3 linked regions of the Anolis sagrei genome follow. The protein of the gene in region 1 interacts with the protein of each later gene in a pairwise test. Links are inferred from orthologs where the notes say so. Each region holds a gene or a part of one and is shown on either strand. Other genes may lie near its edges.

Region 1 (6,936 bases):
TCTTGTCTGAAATTCCCCTGTTTTTGAGTGTTATTCTTTATTTACTGTCCTGATTTTAGAGTTTTGCAGTGTTGGTAGCCAGATTGCATTAATTTTACACTGCAAATGAATCTTTTGTTAACTTAAAAGTTTGCCACCAGGAAAACAGGGAAGAAAAACCAAAATGCACTCTCCCTAACAAATCATTTGACTTATCCTGTTGCATCTTCAAATCCAATCCGATCCAGAGGTTCATGAACTTAGCAACAAAACCAAGTCCTATCAGGAAGCTCAAGGAAGCAATCCAACCCGAGACAAGACAACTCTCTCTCCCCGTTCACACCTGCACTGCTTCAGGAAACCTCTAGATGGCAACTTTACCTGCACAAAAAGCCCTGCAAAGCCAACCCAATGCCCAACGCAGAAGGAAGAAGTCTCTGGGCAGTGGCCAGATTTTCACTTACTGTAAGTTTGAGATGTTCTGGTAACAGATCTTTCAGCTGGGCAATGCATTCATTAATCCGATCTCGTCTTTTCTTTTCAATCAGCCGGTGGGGTAACTTGTAGGTCTCCTAAAAATCAACAGGTACCAAAAAATTATACAACCATTTCATCAGTTGAGAGGAAAAGTGATTTCTGAGCATAGTATTATCTGTCCAAATAGATTGGAAAAAATTATAAACATTTTCTTAGATCATTTTTTTTTGTTTTTTAAAAAACAGCATTACCAAACCCAAAGTTTATTGCAGATGATGTATTTTGATCATCTCCAGAAAATTATCTGATGCAACTATGAAGTGAGTTTCCTGGGCTGTATGGCCATGTTCCAGAAGCATTCTCTCCTGACATTTTGCCCACATCTATGGCAGGAATTTTCAGAGGTTGAGAAATCTATTGAAAACTAAGAAAGTCAGGTTTATATCTGTGGAATAACGTCCAGGGTGGGAGAAAGAATTCTTGTCGTTTGAGGCAAGTGTGAATGTTGCAATTGGCCACCTTGATTAGCACTGAAAAGCCTTGTAGCTTCAAAGCCTGGCTGATTGCTGCCTGGGGATCAACACTCAAAAACAGGGGAATTCCAGACAAGAATCAATCAGGGGCAATTAATCACCTCCCAACAAAGGATTCCCCCAGGTAGGAAGCAGCCAAGCTTTGAAGCTGCAAGGCTATTCAATGCTAATCAGGGTGATCAATTGCAACATGCCTCATCTTGCCTCAAACAGACAAGAGTTCTTTCTCCTACCCTGGATGCTATTCCAGAGATATAAAAACCTTGCTTACCTTGTCTTTGACAAACCACACAACATCTGAGGATGCCTGCCATAGATGTGGGTGAAATGTCAGGAGAGAATGCTCCTGGAAAATAGCCATACAGCCCGGAAAACTTACAGCAACTCAGTGATTCCGGCCATGAAAGCCTTCGACAACATATGAAGATATTGTTTTGCTGCATGATAAGGCAAATCCATGAGCATAATAACATTTTTGGAAAAATGAATACCCTCCACCCCACAAATAGAGTCTCCAAAAACAAATTTTGAGGGGCCATTGAAAATGAATGCTCTTTTGTATATGTTTGGGAAGACCATTACTTAATCTCAGAACGAAACTGGGTCAAAATTGAGTTGCTGTTGAGTTTTCTGGGCTGCATGGCTGTGTTCCAGAATCATTCTCTCCTGATGTTTTTCCCACATCTATGGCAGCCTTCCTCAAAGGTTGAGGGGTCTCAACCTCTGAGGATGACTGCCATAGATGCAGGCGAAATGTCGGGAGAGAATGCTTCTGGAACATGGCCATATAGCCTGGAAAACTCTCAACAATTCAATGATTCCAGCTGTGAAATCCTTCAACAACACATTGGGTGAAAACTATTCACTGAGGACGCTAAGAAAATACTAGTCAGTAAATAATAAATAAATAAGAAAAATGCTACGAATGTTCTGTATTTACCTTGCTGTCTTCGCCTCTTTTTAACCCTCTCCTGGGTTTATAAACTTGGTACATGTGAGCAAAGTCCAACCTGTTGATGAGCCAAAAGGAGAAAGATGTAAATGACTTGCAAGAATAATCCAGGAAGGTAGTCAATCCTCCCCATCCCTCTCCAAAACCTACAGAAGTAGCATCTACACTGCGGAATGAATGCAGTTCAAATGAATGCAGTTCAACGCCACTTGGCTCAGTGCTCGGGAATAAAGGGGGCTGGAGTTGTACTGCCACCTCCATAGCATTGAGACCTGGGCAGGTCAAAGTGGTGATAAACTGCATTAACTCTAAAGCGTAGACACAGTAGAGTGAGAAGAAAGAGGGCTAAGCTATAGAAAAGTTTGGAGAGAAGGAAAACAAGGGAGAGGAAATTGAGAGGTGTACTGCTTGTCCCAGGTGCAGAAAGTGAGAGCAGAGGTAGCCAAGGGAAGCACCATCCCAACCCAAGAGGAACCTGGTTGGAAAGCGATTTCAATCCCACACAGATAGATAGATAGATAGATAGATAGATAGATAGATAGATAGATAGATAGAGAGCTTACCCTGGCATCTCGTTGCCCTCCAACGTGGCCAGCTTGCCCAAGCAAGGCGGTGCTGGAGGAGGAGGAGGTTGGGCGCTGGGGATCCTTTCCATGGCCAACTGGGTGGCTTCTCCTTCCTCTTCTTAAGGTTGCCTCTCCTTCCTTCCTATCCTTCTCCCTCCGGTGAGCTGTTTTCCTCTAAGGATGGAGCCGAAGTCTCCAAGATCCCGCTTTGGGTCTCTCTCTCTCTGAGTCGGCTTTCCTTTTTTTCCTAACAGGACTTTCTCCTCTGGTGGTTCTCCTCTCTCTCTCTCTCTCTGGGTCAAAAGGAGAGGCGAGTTCTGTCTGTGCTTCAGGTGGGAGAGCCTTTGCGGCGCGTCTCTGCAGCGCCTCTTTCTCCTCCTTCGGTGCGGACGGAGGACAGAGCGATCCGATCCGCCCTGTGACTGACTTCAGGCACGTCTGGCCGCGGCTGCTTCTGAAGCCGGAGAGGGAGGGAGGAGAGGAGAGGAGAGGAGGAGGAGGAGCGGGCCTGCCTCTTCTCCCTTCCTCTGCCCCCCCCCCGTCCCTCCCCGCCTCCCTCCTCGCCTCCCTCCTCATCACATGAGCCTCACGTGTCGGACAACGCTCCGGCCTCCCTCCCTCCCTCCGCTGTGGCCAGGAGCTTCCCTGCCGCCGCCTCTGCAAACGTGACCCAGGGCTGCCCTGGGAGGGCCCCGGAGGAGGAGGAGGAGGAGGAGGAGGAAGGCCTGGCCCCACTGCAACTGCTCCGCTTATCCCATCGCATGAAGAAAGCCCTGGCCAAACTCCAGGGAGGACCCTCGACTTGGAAGACATCCTCCCCCCCCCCCAAGGGCCATCCAGTCTGACCCCTTGGCATGCAAGGAAAGCACATTCAAGGCGCCTCCCACAAAGGACCACCCAGCCCAACTTCCTGACACACAGCGAAAGGGACTGTCTAAGCACTCCCGACAGATGGGCATCCACTACAACCTTCTGACATGCAGGAAAGGCACAATCCAAGCACTCCCGGCAGATGGTCATAAAGTTCAACCCCCTAACAGACAGGGAAAGCACAATCAAAGTACTCCCGGCAGATAGACATCCAGTCTAACCTCCCAACATGCAGGGAAAGCACAATCAAAGCACTCCCGGTGGATGGCCATAAAGTTCAACCCCCTGACACGCAGGGAAGACACAATCGAAGCACCCTCGTCAGATAGCCATCCAGTCTAACCTCCTGACATGCAAGGAAAGCACAATCAAAGCACTCTCTACAGATGGACATCCAGTCTAACCTCCCAACGTGCAGGGAAAGCACAAAAACACTCCCGGTGGATGGCCATTAAGTTCAACCTCCTGACATGCGGGGAAGGCACAATCAAAGCACACCCGGCAGATAGCCATCCGGTCTAACCCCCTGACATGCAGGGAACTCTCTGCCCCGGAGTGGTGTGGTGGAGGCTCCTTCTTTGGAAGGTTTTAAACAGAGGCTGGATGGCCATGTGTCAGGGGTGCTTTGAATGCAATATTCCTGCTTCTTGGCAGGGGGTTGGCCTGGATGGCCCATGAGGTCTCTTCCACAATCAAAGAACTCCCTGAAGATGGACATCTAGTCTAACATCCTGACACGCAGGGAAAGCACAATCAAAGTACTCCCGGCGGATGGCCATAACGTTCAACCCCCTGACACGCAGGGAAAGCACCACTGACAGATGGACATCCAGCCCAAGCCTTTGACATGCAAGGAAAGCAGAATCATAGAATCATAGAGTTGGAAGAGACCTCATGGGCCACCCGGTCCAAACCTCTACCGAGAAACAGGAAAATCGCATTCAAAGCACTCCCTGCAGATGGCCATCCAGCCTTTGCTTGAAAACCTCCAGAGAAGGCGACTCCTAGGCAGTGTAGTTCTTCCTAAAGTTCGTCCTAACGTTTACACGGAATCTCCTTTCCTGCCATTGGAATCCATTCCTCCAAGGTGTCCTAGTCTCCCCAATGTGGCACCCTTTCACTGATTCCAAGGTGGCTGTCATGTCCCCTTCCCTCAGCCTTTTCTCCTGCAAGCTACACACCCCCAGCTCCCTAAACTACTCCTCATTGGGCTTGGCTTTCGGACCCTTGCTCATTGTGGTCACCCTTCCCTGCCAACATCCTGAAGTGCCCAGAAATGGACACAGTCTTATTCCAGGTGAGGTTTTTTTCGTGTCAGGAAACTGCAAGTCGCTTCTGGTGTGAGAGTATTGGCCGTCTTCAAGGACGTTGCCCAGGAAACGCCCGGATGTTTTTGATGTTTTACCATCCTTGTGGAAGGCTTCTCTCATGTCCCCACATGGGGAGCTGGATCTGACAGAGGGAGCTCATCCGGGCTCTCCCCAGATTCGAACCCCCGACCTGTCGGTCTTAAGTCCTGCTGGCACAAGGGTTTAACCCACTGCGCCACCGGGGGCTTTGTGACCAATAGGGTGGGGTTATGGCTTCCCTGGATCTTGACACTGGACTCCTCTTGAGGCAGCCTAGAATGGCATTGGCTTTTGGGTTTCTAGTGTGGGGAGGAGGCACCAGCCCTTTCAGGCAAAGACAGATCCCAGGCTTCCATAGGGTACAGCGGTGGCACTTAAAGTAGGCTCAACCTGCCTTCCCTGCCTGGAGCTCTCCAAAGGGGGACTTCCGACCAGGAGCGGCTTCGGAGTAAAGCCAACGCGTTGGAGTTCCGGAGAAGCAGCCGCGGCACCCTCGCTCCATCACGCAGCCACGCATGCGCACAGGCGTTGTCACTGGAGAGGGGATTTCAGGAGAATGCCTCCCAGCTGCTTCTCTTACTTGTACGCAAGGCTATGCTGTGCCCTGCTTGCAAAAAAGAGTAGCAGGCATGCAGTCATTTGTTTTCCCTCAATGCTAAGACTCGATGGATGTGTCTAATGTAATACAATATAATACTACTACTAATAAATATATAATATAATTATAATTACATGTAATATAAAATATATAATATAATTATATATTTTTATATTACATGTAATATCTTCTATCTTTTCTATATAAATAAAAATGGAATGTTCGTTTGTGGGATTAACAGAATTCAAAAACTTCTGGACGAATTGACATCAAAATTGGACACAAGACACCTAATAACTCAATGTATGTCCTTCACTAAAAAAAATGATTTTGTCATTTGGAAGTTGTAGTTGCTGGGATTTATAGTTCACCGATAATCAAATAGCATTCTGAACCCCACAGGCCCGTAGCCAGGATTTCATTTCGGAGGGGGCTAAATTTTTTCAGGGGGGGGTTCGGGGGGGCGAGTTTCGGGGGGGGGGGCTGAGTCTGAGTGAAAGAGGGTCTAGCCTAGCAAACCTTTTGTATCATTACCCCAATACCCCCATGCATATGGGATATATTTATTTATTTTATTTATTTATTTAGTACACTTGTATACCGCTAATATCTCAGCCTAGAACGGCGACTCATTGCGGTTTACAACAATAAAACAATATTCCGAATAAAAAAATATAAAAACACATATATATACAATACACAGTATTGGGCCACCAATACAGACCAATGCATCTCTTAAATTAAAATCATAATCCAAATTCGTTGTCTGTAATTGCCAGTCCTTAGTCAAAACTTCATCGCATCGGATTAGCCAAATGCTTGCTCAAACATCCATGTTTTCAGTTTTTTTCGAAATACCATCAGCGAGGAGGCTGATTTTATCTCTATAGGGAGGGCATTCCAAAGCCGCGGGGCCACCACAGAAAAGGCCCTGTCTCTCGTACCCGCCAGCCGCACCTGTGAAGCAGGCGGGATGGAGAGAAGGGCCTCTCCCGAAGATCTTAGGGTCCTGGTGGGCTGATAGGCCGAGATACATTCGGATAGGTATGTTGGGCCAGAACCGTTTAGGGCTTTAAAGGCCAATGCCAGCACTTTGAATTGGGCCCGGTAGCTAATCGGCAGCCAGTGGAGCTGGTACAGCAGAGGAGTTGTATGCTCCTTGCGCCCTGCTCCTGTTAGTACCATGGCTGCCGCCCGTTGGACTAGTTGGAGCTTCCGAGCCGTCTTCAAAGGCAACCCCACGTAGAGAGCGTTGCAGTAGTCAAGGCGGGATGTAACCAGAGCGTGGACTACCGTGGCCAAGTCAGACTTCCCAAGGTACGGTCGCAGTTGGCGCACGAGTCTTAGCTGTGCGAATGCTCCCCTGGTCACCGCCGAAACCTGGGGATCCAGGCTCAGCGATGAATCCAGGATCACACCCAAACTGCGAACCTGTGTCTTCAGGGGGAGTGCGACCCCGTCTAACACAGGCTGTAGCCCTATACCCTGTTCGGCCCTGCGACTGACCAGGAGTACCTCTGTCTTGTATTGAGTATATATTGAGTATGGTGATCAGATCATGATATGAATAAATAACAGTTTAAATAATGCACCAGTAAGGCCTTTTTCGCGA
Region 2 (7,294 bases), about 28 Mb from region 1:
TGAAGTGTTTTCAACACAGTGAATCGCAGTGCTCTCTGGACCATCCTCCAAAATTCCTGCGGCTCCTCCATGATGACATGATACCAATAGTCTTGGACAGCAATAGCTCCCAAAGTGACCCATTTAAGGTGGAATCAGGTGTCAAACAGGGATGTGTTATTGCCCCAACCTTATTTTCCATCTTCATCGCTATGATACTGCACCTTGTTGATGGGAAGCTTCCCAGCAGAGTGGATACTATCCATCGGACAGACGGCAAGCTATTTAACCTCAGCAGACTGAAACCCGAAACCAAGGTCACAACAGCATCTGATATAGAACTCCAATATGCTGATGATAATGTAGTGCTCATTCAGAAGAAGACCTACAAGCCACACTAAAAACCTATGCAGAAGTATACAACAAAGGAACCCCCGGTGGCACAGTGGGTTAAGCCCCTGTGTCAGCAGGACTTAAGACCGACAGGTCGAAGGTTCAAATCCAGGGAGAGGCGGATGAGTTCCCCCTATCTGCTCCAGCTCCTCATGCGGGGACATAAGAGAAGCCTCCCACAAGGATGATAAAACATCAAATCATCCAGGCGTCCCCTGGGCACCATCCTTGCAGATGGCCAATTCTCTCACACGAGAAGCGACTTGCAATTTCTCAAGTCACGACAAAAAAAAAAAAGTATACAAAAAGTTTGGCCTCTCACTGAACATCCAGAAAACCAAGGTACTCTTTCAGCAGGTATCAGCCAATTCTTCTGCAATGCCAGAAATGCAATTTAATTGATGTCTCTGTTGTTGTTCATTCGTTCAGTCGTCTCCGACTCTTTGTGACCTCATGGACCAGCCCACGCCAGAGTTCCCTGTCGGCCGTCACCACTCCCAGCTCCTTCAAGGTCAAGCCAGTCACTTCAAGGACACCATCCATCTTGCCCTTGGTTGGCTTCTCTTCCTTTTTCCTTCCATTTTCCCCAGCATCATACTCTTCTCTAAACTTTCCTGTCTCCTCATGATGTGGCCAAAGTACTTCACCTTTGTCTCTAGTATCCTTCCCTCCAGTGAGCAGTCGGTCTTTATTTCCTGGAGGATGGACTGGCTGGATCTTCTCGCAGTCCAAGGCACTCTCAGCACTTTCCTCCAACACCACAGCTCAAAAGCATCGATCTTCCTTCGCTCAGCCTTCCCTAAGGTCCAACTCTCACATCCGTAGGTTACTACGGGGAATACCATTGCTTTGACTATGCAGATCTTCGTTGCCAATGTGATGTCTACTCTTCACTATTTTGTCGAGAGTGGTCATTGCTCTCCTCCCAAGAAGTAAGCGTCTTCTGATTTCCTGGCCACAGTCTGCATCTGCAGTAATCTTTGCGCTTAGAAATACAAAGTCTGTCACGGCCTCCACATTTTCTCCCTCTATTTTCCAGTTGTCAATCATTCTTGTTGCCATAATCTTGGTTTTTTTGATGTTTAGCTGCAACCCAGCTTTTGCGCTTTCTTCTTTCACCTTGATTAGAAGGCTCCTCAGCTCCTCCTCGCTTTCGGCCATCAGAGTGGTGTCATCTGCATATCTGAGGTTGTTAATGTTTCTTCCGGCAATTTTCACCCCAGCTTTGCATTCATCAAGCCCCGCACATCGCATGATGTGTTCTGCATACAAGTTAAAAAGGTTGGGTGAGAGTATGCAGCCTTGCCATACGCCTTTCCCAATCTTGAACCAGTCTGTTGTTCCGTGGTCAGTTCTGACTGTTGCTACTTGGTCCTTGTACAGATTCCTCAGGAGAGAGACAAGGTGGCTTGGTATGCCCATCCCACCAAGAACTTGCCACAGTTTATTATGATCCACACAGTCAAAGGCTTTAGAATAGTCAATGAAGCAGAAATAGATGTTTTTCTGAAACTCCCTGCCTTTCTCCATTATCCAGCGGATATTGGCAATCTGGTCTCTCGTTCCTCTGCCTTTTCTAAACCCAGCTTGAACATCTGGCAACTCTCGCTCCATGTATTGCTGGAGTCTTCCTTGCAGGATCTTGAGCATTACCTTACTGGCATGTGAAATAAGTGCCACTGTACGAAAGTTTGAGCAGTCTTTCGCATTTCCCTTTTTTGGTGTGGGGATATAAGTTGATTTTTTCCAACTCGGATAGTCATTCTTGTGTTTTCCATATTTGCTGGCATATGGCATGCATCAACTTGACAGCATCATCTTTCAAGATTTTGAACAGTTCAGCTGGGATCCTGTCATCTCCTGCTGCCTTGTTGTTAGCAATGCTTCTTAAGGTCCTTTCAACCTCACTCCTCAGGATTTCTGGTTCTAATTCATTCACCACACTGTCAAAACTATCCTCAATATTATTATCCATCCATACAAAGGGCATTTGATCTATGTTAATTTATTAATATCTGTTTGTTTGTATTTTATTCTGTACAATTTCGCTATGTAAATCGCCTAGAGCATCTCGGATGGAGGGCGATTAATAAGTAATTAAAGATGATTAATAAGTAATTAAAGAAGAGAAGGCTGAGAGGAGACATGATAGCCATGTATTATTATTATTATTATTATTATACTTTATTTGTACCCCGCTAGCATCTCCTGAAGGACTCGATGCGGCTTACAAAGGCCAAGGCCTCAACACAACAACAACAGACAATAACAATACAATACAAAGCAAATTAAAAAACATAAAGCAATAACAAAAACATTACACTATTACGCAACAAACCAGGGCCGGGCCAATGATGGGTACAGGTTAAAAGTGCTGGGTGTGAGAGGTGATATGTTGGGATTCTGGGCAAGTGCAATGTGCAGAGAGTCTTAAACTCTAAGAAAGTGCTTCTGGAACGTAGTGCTGGGGTTATCCTATTCTGGAAAGGCACATCGGAATAGCCAGGTCTTCAAGTTCTTCCTAAAGACTGCCAATGTGGGTGCTCCCACGTTGGGGAGGGGAGATCATAGGGAGGAGGGATCAAGCTTGTTTTCTGCTTCCCTGGAGGGTAGGACGCAGAACAATGGCTTCAAACTACAAGAAAGGAGATTCCATCTGAACATTAGGAAGAACTTTCTGACTGTGAGAGCCGTTCAGCAGTGGAACTCTCTGCCCCAGAGTGTGGTGGAGGCTCCTTCTTTGGAAGCTTTTAAACAGAGCCTGGATGGCCATCTGTCAGTGGTGTTTTGAATGCAATTTTCCTGCTTCTTGGCAGAATGGGGTTGGACTGGATGGCCCATGAAGTCTCTTCCAACTCTAGGATTCTATAATTCTATAAGTTCTCTTCCAACTCTATGATTCTATGATTTTAAGTCCCGCACATCGCATGATGTGTTTGCATACAAGTTGAATAGGTTGGGTGAGAGTATCCAACCCTGACATACACCTTTCCCAATCTTGAACCAGTCTGTTGTTCCATGGTCACTTCTTACTCTTGCCATTTGGTCCTTATACAGATTCCTCAGGAGAGAGACAAGCCATCCAGTCCAACCCCATTCTGCCAAGAAGGTGGCTTGGGATGCCCATCCCGCCAAGAACTTGCCACAATTTATTATGATCCACACAGTCAAAGGCTTTAGAGTAGTCAATGAAGCAGAAGTAGATGTTTTTCTGAAACTCCCTGCCTTTCTCCATTATCCAGCAATTTGGCCTCTGGTATCTCTGCCTTTTCTAAATATATTTGTGAATATCTTAGTATTGTTATTATTACTGCGAATCCTATTGTTCTTATTATCAACAACAATAATACTAATAGAGCCTAGGCAGCAGCAGCAGCAGCAGCACCCACTGGGGAGGATTCAGGTCACAAAACCAAAAGAAGCAAAACCTCTTCGCTTTCTGTTCTGACCCTTCCCGGCACTTGTACTGACCTGCTCTGACGTCATCGCAGGGCAGCCAATCGCTCGCCTCCCAGAGGACCGAGGGAACGCGAGGCCAAGCTGCCTGGTTTCCTTTCACGCTCCCCTCCTTTCAGCCATTTACTCACACGCCCGACATCTTGACCCAAAACAACGCCAGGTTTCGTTTCTTGGCGGCAGCGACGGCGTGATGACGCCATCCCCAGCCGCCGCTCGGAAGCTTCGTGCCCTTTCCTAGCTTGCCTTTACCAAAGATGGCGGCAGGAAAGCCCATTGGCCGGCTCAAACTGTCAATCACGCCTTTTCGCCCAATGAGGGGCGAGTATGCAAATAAGGCCCCGGGCCTGGAGAACAGCGTGACGTCATGGCAAAAAGAGGAGGAAGAGGGCAGCTGAGGAAGGAGGGTGTGATGTGTGGCTGAATCTCCCTAAGCAGGGCCAGCCCTGGTGAGTATTTGGGTGGGAGACCGGAACTTAGTAAGTATTCATTCCTTGTGGGTTTTTTCAGGCTATATGGCCATGTTCTAGAGGCATTTTCTCCTGACGTTTCGCCTGCATCTATGGCAAGCATCCTCAGAGGTAGTGAGGTCTGTTGAAACTAGGAAAATGAGTTTATCTGTGGAATGACCAGGGTGGGACAAGGAACTCTTGTCTGCAGGAGCTAGGTGAGAATGTTTCAACTGACCACCTTGATTTGCATTTAATGGCTTGGAAGTGCCTGGGGGGAATCTTTTTTTGAGAGTTGATTAAAAGGTAAAGGTTTCCTTTGACATTAAGTGTAGTTGTGTCCGACTTGGGGTGTGTGTGTGTGTGTGTGTGTGTGTGCTGATCTGTATTTCTAAGCCAAAGAGCCAGCATTGTCCGTAGACACCTACAAGGTCATATGGCCAGCATGACTGCATGAACGGTTTGGGACCAGCCTACCTGTGTGACCGCATTTCCATCTACGAACCCACGCGTTCTCTTCGGTCATCTGGAGAGGCCCTACTCGTGATCCCACCGGCGTTGCAAGCGCGCTTGGTGGGGACGCGGGACAGGGCCTTTTCCGTAGTGGCCCCCCAACTCTGGAACACCCTCCCCAAAGACCTTAGACAGGCCTCTTCTTTGGCTATCTTCAGAAAGAACTTAAAAACCTGGCTTTTTCGATGCGCCTTCCCAAATTAGGAAATCTCCATTACCGAGTCCTACAAACACTTTACCAGAACCAATGATTGCTGCACACCGCACATCGCACTTGCCCTAGAAACCCTTTATACACCTCCTGTCAATTCAGCACTTTTAATCCTTGTACCCACTTTTTTGGCCCGGCCCAGTTTTATTGTGTTTTAATGTACTGTGCCTGTTGTTTACTTTGCTTTATTTTGTTTTAATTGTTTGATTTGCTTGATTGTGTTGTTATGTTGTGTTGTTGAGGCCTCGGCCTGTGTAAGCCGCATCGAATCCTTTGGGAGATGCTAGCGGGGTACAAATAAAGTTTAATAATAATAATAATAATAATAATAATGAAGCACTGTTACCTTCCTGTAGAAGCAGTACATATTGATCTACTCACATTTGCAAGTTTTCGAACTGCAGAAGCTGGGGCTAACAACGGGAGCTCATGCCACTCCCCAGATTCGAACCGCCAACCTTTTGGACAGCAAGTTCAGCAGCTCAGTGGTTTAACCTGCTGTAATACTGGGGAGAGGGCGTGGATAGATAGATAGATAGCTTTGGATAACATAGAATCATAGAATCAAAGAGTTGGAAGAGACCTCATGGGCCATCCAGTCCAACCCCCTGCCAAGAAGCAGGAATATTGCATTCAAATCACCCCTGACAGATGGCCATCCAGCCTCTGTTTAAAAGCTTCCAAAAAAGGAGCCTTCACCACACTCCGGGGCAGAGAGTTCCACTGCTGAACGGCTCTCACAGTCAGGAAGTTCTTTCTCATGTTCAGATGAAATCTCCTTTCTTGTAGTTTGAAGCCATTGTTCCGCGTCCTAGTCTCCAGGGAAGCAGAAAACAAACTTGCTCCCTCCATAGGGAAGGTTTACCACCCCTGTGGTGTTTGTTTTCTTGTCCGTGCCCCTCTTCAGAAGATTTCATTTCTCTTTCTGTCATTGGGACCACTGGATTTTGAAAAAAAAAATGGCTTGTTGTGGAAACAAGGATTGGTGCTAAAGTTCCAGTGGAGACATCTTTTCCACATGATAATAACTCTTCCCAGAGTGAATTTTGCTTCCTAGTAGTAGATTAATTTCACTTCCTGTTGTCTCACCCCCATTCTTAACTATGAGCCGTTTCTAAGCCAGATGTTTGTAACTCAGGAATGGACAGTATATCAAGGAAGGGGGAATTCTATAAATCAGGTAAAATAAGAAACAGCAACACCGAATCTGAACTAATCCTAAGAAGACAAATCCCTATTTGATCTAATTGCTATAGGTGTGATGCTCATCCTTCTTGTTTGACTAGTTCCCTATCCTGGCATACACAAAACATTGAGGAGCTGCAGTTCTTCCTGGCATAGTAATGTAGCCATAAGGAAATGCGGCAATTTTGTGCTTAATTGTAGAGTTGGGAGAGACACGATCTAGTCCAACCTCATTTTGCGAGGCAGGAATGCATACACAGTCATACCATTCCCAGAAGATGTCAATCCCATCCTGAAAATTATTATCATGGGGAAAAGGTCTCTCCACAAAAGGTTTATCACCAATCCTTGCTTCCACAACAAGCCAAATTCTCAAAATCCCATTTTCACAGGGACAGAAAGTGAGTTGAAATTTTCTGACCAGGGGCACAGACATCAAAACATACAACTTATATATTACCTATCCAACGCTCATAATAATTAATAATAAATTTCTATCTCCCACGGGGGACTCAGGGCAGTTTATACATACAAAGACAAATATTCAGTGCCTGGCACACACACACACAATTCTATCTATCTACCTATGGATATAATTTTATTTATTTATGATATTTCTATCCCGCCTTTCTCGAACCTGAAGGTGACTCAAGGCAGCTTACAACTTGGCTGGAGTTAAAAATGCACCTGTTCCGACTTGCAAATATAATCAACTAAAGAACAAACCTACAGAACCTCTCATTCATAAATTGGGGACTGCCTATATTTTAAAACAAATGTATGATAGATTTGCGTGAGACATGTTATGTCCCCTTTACATTTCGTAACAGGAGAGTTTTGCTTATCCAACCTTCTCTTATCCAACTTTCTATATTATCCAACACAGTCTGCCGCTCACCCAGATCCACAGCTATTTCAATACATTGCGATGTTTTGGGGCTAAATTCATAAATGCATTAATTACTATATAACGTTACCGTGTATTGAGCTGCCTTTTCTGTTGGTTTGTTGTAAAACATGATATTTTGATGCTTAATTTGTAAAATCATAACATAATTTGACATTTAATAGGCTTTTCCTTAATCCCTCCTTATTATACTCTGCTGGC
Region 3 (7,407 bases), about 120 Mb from region 1:
CCCACCACGCATTGCTGTGGCCAGCCTTCCCTCCTCCTTTCTTTCTCTCCTTCCTTTTCTTTTTTTTCTTTCATTCTCTTTCCTTCTCATCCTCTTCCCTTCCCCCCCCCCCTTTTCTTTCTTCCTTCTCTACCTATTTTTGGACTGCAACTCCCAGCAGTTCTTCTGATCTACCTACCTACCTCTATCTAATCCAGTGTTTCTCAACCAGTGGGTCCCCAGGTGTTTTGGCCTACAACTCCCAGAAATCCCAGCCAGTTTACCAGCTGTTAGGGCAGTGGCCAGGTTGTTAACTGGTGCCCCTTACAGGGAGCGGTCAACCTTCCTGTTTAAGGAGCTCCAGTGGCTGCCATTTATCTTCCGGACCCAATTCAAGGTGCAGGTTCTTACCTACAAAGCCCTGAATGGTTTGGGACCTGCCTACCTGCGTGACCGCATTTCTGTGTACAAACCCACACAATCTCTTCAATCGTCTGGAGAGGCCTTACTCACGCTTCCACCTGCATCGCAAGCACGATTGGTGGGGACGAGGGAGAGAGCCTTCTCGGTGGTGGCCCCTCGACTCTGGAACTCACTCCCTAAGGACATCAGGCATGCCCCATCTCTGGCAGTCTTCAGGAGGAGTTTGAAAACGTGGATGTTCCAGTGTGCCTTCCCAAAATAATGAACCCTTAGCATTATGTCCCCCAAAAGCACTTTATATCGATTTAGGACTGCTTGTATGTTTCTGTCAATGCCCTACCTCTTGTATCTTGTTCATGCCTAGCATTATTTTTTAAACTTTAACTACATTTGGCCCAGCCATATATTTGAATTGTGCACTGTATTTTGTTTAATGTTTATGCTTTTTGTGTTATGAGATTTATTTTAACTGCTTTGTATTGTATTGTTATTGTTTGTATTGTGGGCTCTGCCTCATGTAAGCCACACTGAGTCCCATGGGGAGATGGTAGTGGGGTATAAATAAAGTTTTAAATTTAAATTAAATTTCTAAGAGTTGAAGGCCAAAACATCTCCAGACCCACAGATTAAGAACCACGGATCTAATCTATTTATCTGGAGAATTGCTGGGAGTTGCAGTCCAGGAATAGGGATGCTCTCAAAGAAATCCAAGGAGAAGCAAGCTTGCATCTTGGAAGCAGTGCATTTGGATCCTCCTCCTCTCCTAAAGGGCCTGGTCTAGGGGATGCTGGGAGACGTAGTCCGGAAGAGTGTGTGGATATGCTATTGTGTGTTTTGGTTGCCATGTGCTGCAGCATATCTTTGGGGTTTTTTTTTTTTTTGCTTTTTAAGTCCCTTCTGCTGTGTTTCTCAGTGTTTTTATATGTGATGGTAACTCGTTGGCCTGATAGGTGTCTTGTATCCAAATTTGGTGTCAATTTGTTCAGTGGTTTCTGAGTTATGTTAACCCCACAAACGAACGTTACATTTTTATTTATATAGAAGACTAGCTGTGGCCCACTCCGGGAGTTCTGTGTGGGAGGTTTGGCCCAAATCGATCATTGCTGGGGTTCAGAATGCTCTGTGATTGTAGGTGAACTACAAATCCCAGCAACTACAACTCCCAAATGTCAAGATTCTATTTTCTCCAAACTCCACCAGTGTACACATTTGGGCATATTGAGTATTCATGCGAAGTTTGGTCCAGATCCATCATGCTGTGCTCTCTGGTGAACTACAACTACATTGTTTGAGTCCACAGTGCTCTCTGAATGTAGGTGAACTACAACTCCCAAACACAAGGCCAATGCCCACCAAACCCTTCCAGTATTTTCTGTTTGTCATGGGAGAACTGTGTGCCAAGTTTGTTTCAATTCCATCGTTGATGGGGTTCAGAATGCTCTTTGATTGTAGGTGAAATATTAATCCCAGCAACTACAACTCCCAAATGACAAAATCAATTTTTTTGAGTGAAGGACATACATTGGGTTGTTAGGTGTCTTGTGTCCAAATTTGCTGTCAATTCGTCCATTGGTTTTTGAGTTCTGTTAATCCCACAAACGAACATTATATTTTGATTTATTTACTAGCCGTCCCCTGCCACGCGTTGCTGTGGCCCACTCTGGTTGTCATGGGTGTTCTGTGTGGAAGGTTTGGCCCAATCCTATTGTTGGTGGGGTTCAGAATGCTCTGTGATTGTAGGTGAACTATAAATCCCAGCAACTACAACTCCCAAATTTCAAGATTCTATTTTCCCCAAACTCCACATTTGGGCATATTGAGTATTCGTGTAGAGTTTGGTCCAGATCCATCATTGTTTGAGTCCACAGTGCTCTCTGGATGTAGGTGAACTACAACTCCAAAACCAAAGGACACTGCCCACCAAACCCTTCCAGTATTTTCTCTCGGTCATGGGAGAAGTGTGTGTCAAGTTTGGTTCAACTCTATTGTCGGTGGGGTTCAGAATGCTCTTTGATTGTAGGTGAACTATACATCCCAGCAACTACAATTCCCAAATGACAAAATCAATTTTTGAGTGAAGGACATACATTGGGTTATTAGGTGTCTTGTGTCCAAATATGGTGTCAATTCGTCCAGTGGTTTTTGAGTTATGTTAATCCCACAAACAAACATTACATTTTTATTTATATAGATTACCTGCCTTGATATTGCGGGTTACATGTCTGTGTGGGAAAGCCCACTATGGAAACCGTTCCCGCGTGTTCCACTGGCGCGAGGGCCCCCCTCCGCGCAGGCCTCCCGCGCCTTCCTTCCCCCCCTCTTCCCACCCGCTGTCTTTGCGCGAGGCCCGGCAACACGAGCGGGCCCCCTCGCCTCAACTCCCGAAGACGGGCGGGGACGGCACACAACCACCGCCGCCGCCGGGTGCTGGTTGGGACGGCCGGCGCCGCACTCACCCCTTCATAGCTGCCGGGGGCCGGAGACCTCGACTCGGGGCTGGCGGTTGGGCGACTTCCGCCGTCGATCCACATGGGCCTCAGGCCGCTCCGACCGACCGCGCGGGCGAGCCAGGCAGCGAGCGTGCGCGCGCGGAGCCCCGCCCCTCTGGCCGACCTTTTGCCTTTCACGTCGGCGTGACGGCGCGCGCACTTCCGGCCGTGTTCCCGCGCGCTTTCCTGAGGGAGGCCTGTCAAAGAAAGCGGGCGGGGCCTGGTCCTCTCGACATGCGCAAAAGAGCCACAGCTCTTCCGCTGGGGGCCGGTGTTGTTCCTTCTCGCTACTTTGTACTGAGCCCCCCACTGTCCCCCAAAGTACAACCTAATATGTATTGTCGAAGGCTTTCATGGCTGGAATCACTCAGTTCTTGTGGGTTTTTTCGGGCTATATGGCCATGTTCTAGAGGCATTTCTCCTGACGTTTCGCCTGCATCTATGGCAAGCATCCTCAGAGGTAGTGAGGTCTGTTGGAAAAAAGGGAAAAAAGGGGGTTTATATATTTGTGGAATGACCAGGGTGAGACAAAGGGCTTTTGTAAGTTGGGCTAGGTGTGAATCTTTCAACTGACCACCTTGATTAGCATACAATGGGCTGACTGTGCCTGGAGCAAACTCTTCTTGAAAGGTGATTAGATGTCTCTGCCTGTTTTTCTCTCTGCTGTTTTTGCTGTTGCAATTTTAGAATTTTTTAATACTGGTAGCCAGATCTTGTTCATTTTCATGGTTTCTTCCTTTCTGTTGAAATTGTCCACATGTTTGTGGATTTCAGTGGCTTCTCTGTGTAGTCCGACATGGTGGTTGTGAGAGTGGTCCAGCATTTTTGTGTTCTCAAATAAAATGCTGTGTCCGGGTTGGTTCATCAGGTGCTCTGTTATGGCTGACTTCTCTGGTTGAAGTAGTCTGCAGTGCCTTTCATGTCCCTTGATGCGTGTCTGGGCAATGCTGCATTTGGTGGTCCCTATGTAGACTTGTGATGAGGAAACACAACATACAAACAATCTACAAACCCACCAAGAAAATCCAACAAATGCTACGTTCAGCAAAGGACAAGAGGGATCCTCTCACCTCTGCAGGAGTCTACCGTATACCATGCAGCTGTGGACAAGTCTACATAGGGACCACCAAACGCAGCATTGCCCAAACAAGAATCCAGGAACATGAAAGGCACTGCAGACTACTTCAACCAGAGAAGTCAGCCATAGCAGAGTACCTGATGAACCAACCTGGACACAATATATTACTTGAGAACACAGAAATGCTGGACCACTCTCACAACTACCATGTCAGACTACACAGAGAAGCCACTGAAATCCACAAACATGTGGACAATTTCAACAGAAAGGAAGAAACCATGAAAATGAACAAGATCTGGCTACCAGTATTAAAAAATTCTAAAATTGCAACATCCTAAACTACGTTCCCCAGAATTCTGCAGCTTTATCAACGCTTCCCCTCAACGCTTCTGTCACTGAAATACAGCCCCCCCCCCTCCAAATGGGAAGTTTGGTTTCACAACCCTGTGTATCTTTATGAGCACCTGGCAAATAACTTGCTCCTATTTTTATCTCATTATAGTTTTTAACATTTTAGCCTGTACAAGTGGCCCGTCCACTGTTTACTATGTCTGTGCTTTTTGTTGATTGTAATGCTATTTTGTTATTTAATTTTTAATGTAATTTTGATGATGTTGCTTGTTTATGTTTTGGTTTTATCTTGATGTAATATGTTGTTGTTGTTGATGGCAATGTTGTTGGCCATCAGACTGGAAAAAATCAACTTATATCCCCATACCAAAAAAGGGAAATGCGAAAGACTGCTCAAACTTCCGTACAGTGGCCCTTATTTCTCATGCCAGTAAGGTAATGCTCAAGATCCTGCAAGGAAGACTCCGGCAATACATGGAGAGAGAGTTGCCAGATGTTCAAGCTGGGTTTAGAAAAGGCAGAGGAACGAGAGACCAAATTGCCAATATCCGCTGGATAATGGAGAAAGGCAGGAAGTTTCAGAAAAACATCTATTTCTGTTTTATTGACTATTCTAAAGACTTTGACTGTGTGGATCATAATAAATTGTGGCAAGTTCTTGGTGGAATGGGCATACCAAATCACCTTGTCTATCTCCTGAGGAATCTATATAAGGACCAAGTAGCAACAGTAAGAACTGACTATGGAACAACAGACTGGTTCAAGATTGGGAAAGGCGTATGACAGGGCTGTATACTCTCCCCCAAACTATTCAACTTGTATGTAGAACACATCATGCGATGTGTGGGGCTTGAGGAATGCAAGGCTGGGGTGAAAATCCTGGAAGAAACATTAACAACCTTAGATATGCAGATGACACCACTTTGATGGCCAAAAGCGAGGAGGAGCTGAGGAGCCTTCTGATCAAGGTGAAAGAAGAAAGTGCAAAAGCTGGGTTGCAGTTAAACATAATAAAAACCAAGATTATGGCAACAAGAATGATTGACAACTGGAAAGTAGAGGGAGAAAACGTGGAGGCCGTGACAGACTTTGTATTTCTAGGTGAAAAGATTACTACAGACACAGACTGCAGCCAGGAAATCAGGAGACACTTACTTCTTGGGAGGAGAGCAATGGTGAATCTCGATAAAATAGTGAAGAGTAGAAACATCACACTGCCAACAAAGATCCGCATAGTCAAAGCAATGGTATTCCCTGTAGACATCTACAGATTTGAGAGCTGCACCATAGGGAAGGCTGAGCGAAGGAAGACAGATGCTTTCGAACTGTGGTGTTGGAGAAAAGTGCTGAGAGTGCCTTGGGCTGCGAGAAGATCCAACCAGTCCATACTTCAGGAAATAAACCCCGACTGCTCATTGGAGGGAAGGATATTAGAGGCCAAGATGAAGTAATTTGGCCACATCATGAGAAGATGGGAAAGCTTAGAGAAGACAATGATGCTGGGGAAAATGGAAGAAAAAAGGAAGATGGGCCGACCAAGGGCAAGATGGATGGATGGTATCCTTGAAGTGACTGGATTGACCTTGAAGGAGCTGGGGATGGTGACGGCCGACAGGGAGCTCTGGCGTGGACTGGTCCATGAGGTCACGAAGAGTTGGAAACGACTGAACGAATGAACAACAATATGTTGTTCGGGTTTGGCCCCATGTAAGCCGCTTCGAGTCCCCATCGGGGAGATGGTGGCGGGGTATAAATAAAGTTTATTATTATTATTTACTAGCTGTCCCCTGCCACGCGTTGCTGTGGCCCAGTCTGGTGATCTGGAAAATAAAGTAATTAGAAAGTATTAGTTTCTAATATATGTAATTCTTTTAGGCTTGTGAGTAAACAGTATTTCTTGTTGTTTCTTTGTCAGTGTTGATGTGGAGAGTGTCTGGTTTGCCCACCCTGGAACATGCAACATATCATAGTCCTTCTCTAGGGGTCTCTTTCAAATCTATGATACTATATCTGTGTGTGTGTGTGAGAATCATATCTATCTATCTATCTATCTATCTATCTATCTATCTATATCTATGGCTGGGAGTCCTATCTGCCAAGTTTGGTTCAATTCCATCATTGGTGGAGTTCAGAATGCTCTTTGATTGTAGGTGAACTATAAATCCCAGCAACTACAACTCCCAAATGTCAAGGTCTATTTCCCCCAAACTCCATCTGTGTTCATATTTGGGCATATGGAATATTTGTGCCAAATTTGGTCCAGATCTATCATTGTTTGAGTCCACAGTGCTCTCTGGATGTGGGTGAACTACAATTCCCAGACTCAAGGTCAATGTCCACCAAATCCTTCCAGTTTTATTTCTGTTGGTCATGGGAGCCCTGTGTGCTAAGTTTAGTCCAATTCCATCATTGGTGGAGTTCAGAATGCTCTTTGATTGTAGGTGAAATATAAATCCCAGCAACTACATCTCCCAAATGACAAAATTAAAAAAAATTGAGTGAAGAACATAGTTTGGGTTGTTAGGTGTATGCTGTCCAAATTTGGTGTCAATCGGCCCACTGGTTTTTGAGTTTTGTTCATCCCACAAACGAACATTACATTTTTATTTATATAATGATGATGATGATGATGAGTAGTAGTAGAAGTAGTAGTAGTAGTATTTATGCCCCTGGTGTGAAGTACAGCTGCATTAACCCTCCTGATTGCTGGCCTGAGCGACCTTGGGCAACTCACTCATTTCTAGATAAGAGTAATCTTAGGGTTGCCATAGGTCAGACACAACAAGGAATCTCTATCTATTATCTGGCAAGCCCGTCACGTGACTGAAAAGGTGGGGGGGGGGGCTGACCCTAACAGAGCTCTGCTTCCTGACTCACTCCTTATGCACGGAAAGTCTGCAGAACGTCGGACGAGGCGGAAGAGGAAGTGCACTTGGTTAAGCGCATGCGCACTAGATTCCCGGGGGTGGCAGACGCATTCACCTTCCTCCTGCGGCGTTGAAGGAAGCGAAGGAGCCAGCTGCTTCCGGAGGCGCCACAGCTCTGTCCTGTATCCCAGGTGAGGCCCCGGGACGCCCTTCCCCTCGG

The links.
Region 2: the proteins of BHLHE40 (region 1) and STK19 interact in a two-hybrid assay, tested with the Homo sapiens proteins (2 studies listed by BioGRID). The two-hybrid records come from large-scale screens. The link is inferred for Anolis sagrei from reciprocal best matches to the Homo sapiens genes BHLHE40 and WHR1.
Region 3: the proteins of BHLHE40 (region 1) and NAA50 interact in binary tests that used the Homo sapiens proteins (3 or more experiments, as listed by UniProt). The two-hybrid records come from large-scale screens. The link is inferred for Anolis sagrei from reciprocal best matches to the Homo sapiens genes BHLHE40 and NAA50.

Annotation. Positions count from the first base shown.
Region 1 is NC_090022.1:46,308,587-46,315,522, reverse strand, and holds the start of BHLHE40 (class E basic helix-loop-helix protein 40), read right to left. Parts: upstream 3,011-6,936; 5' UTR 2,597-3,010; coding exon 2,505-2,596; intron 2,000-2,504; coding exon 1,930-1,999; intron 552-1,929; coding exon 444-551; intron 1-443. UniProt on the Homo sapiens protein: Transcriptional repressor involved in the regulation of the circadian rhythm by negatively regulating the activity of the clock genes and clock-controlled genes.
Region 2 is NC_090022.1:18,154,328-18,161,621, reverse strand, and holds the start of STK19 (inactive serine/threonine-protein kinase 19), read left to right. Parts: upstream 1-4,276; 5' UTR 4,277-4,306; coding exon 4,307-4,307; intron 4,308-7,294. Other genes in the region: DXO (decapping and exoribonuclease protein), read right to left, coding at 3,844-3,858. UniProt on the Homo sapiens protein: DNA-binding protein which is required for efficient transcription-coupled nucleotide excision repair (TC-NER). Acts as part of a TC-NER complex which assembles and interacts with RNA polymerase II (RNAPII) when it stalls at DNA lesions.
Region 3 is NC_090022.1:165,332,953-165,340,359, forward strand, and holds the start of NAA50 (N-alpha-acetyltransferase 50), read right to left. Parts: upstream 3,019-7,407; 5' UTR 2,867-3,018; coding exon 2,859-2,866; intron 1-2,858. UniProt on the Homo sapiens protein: N-alpha-acetyltransferase that acetylates the N-terminus of proteins that retain their initiating methionine. Has a broad substrate specificity: able to acetylate the initiator methionine of most peptides, except for those with a proline in second position.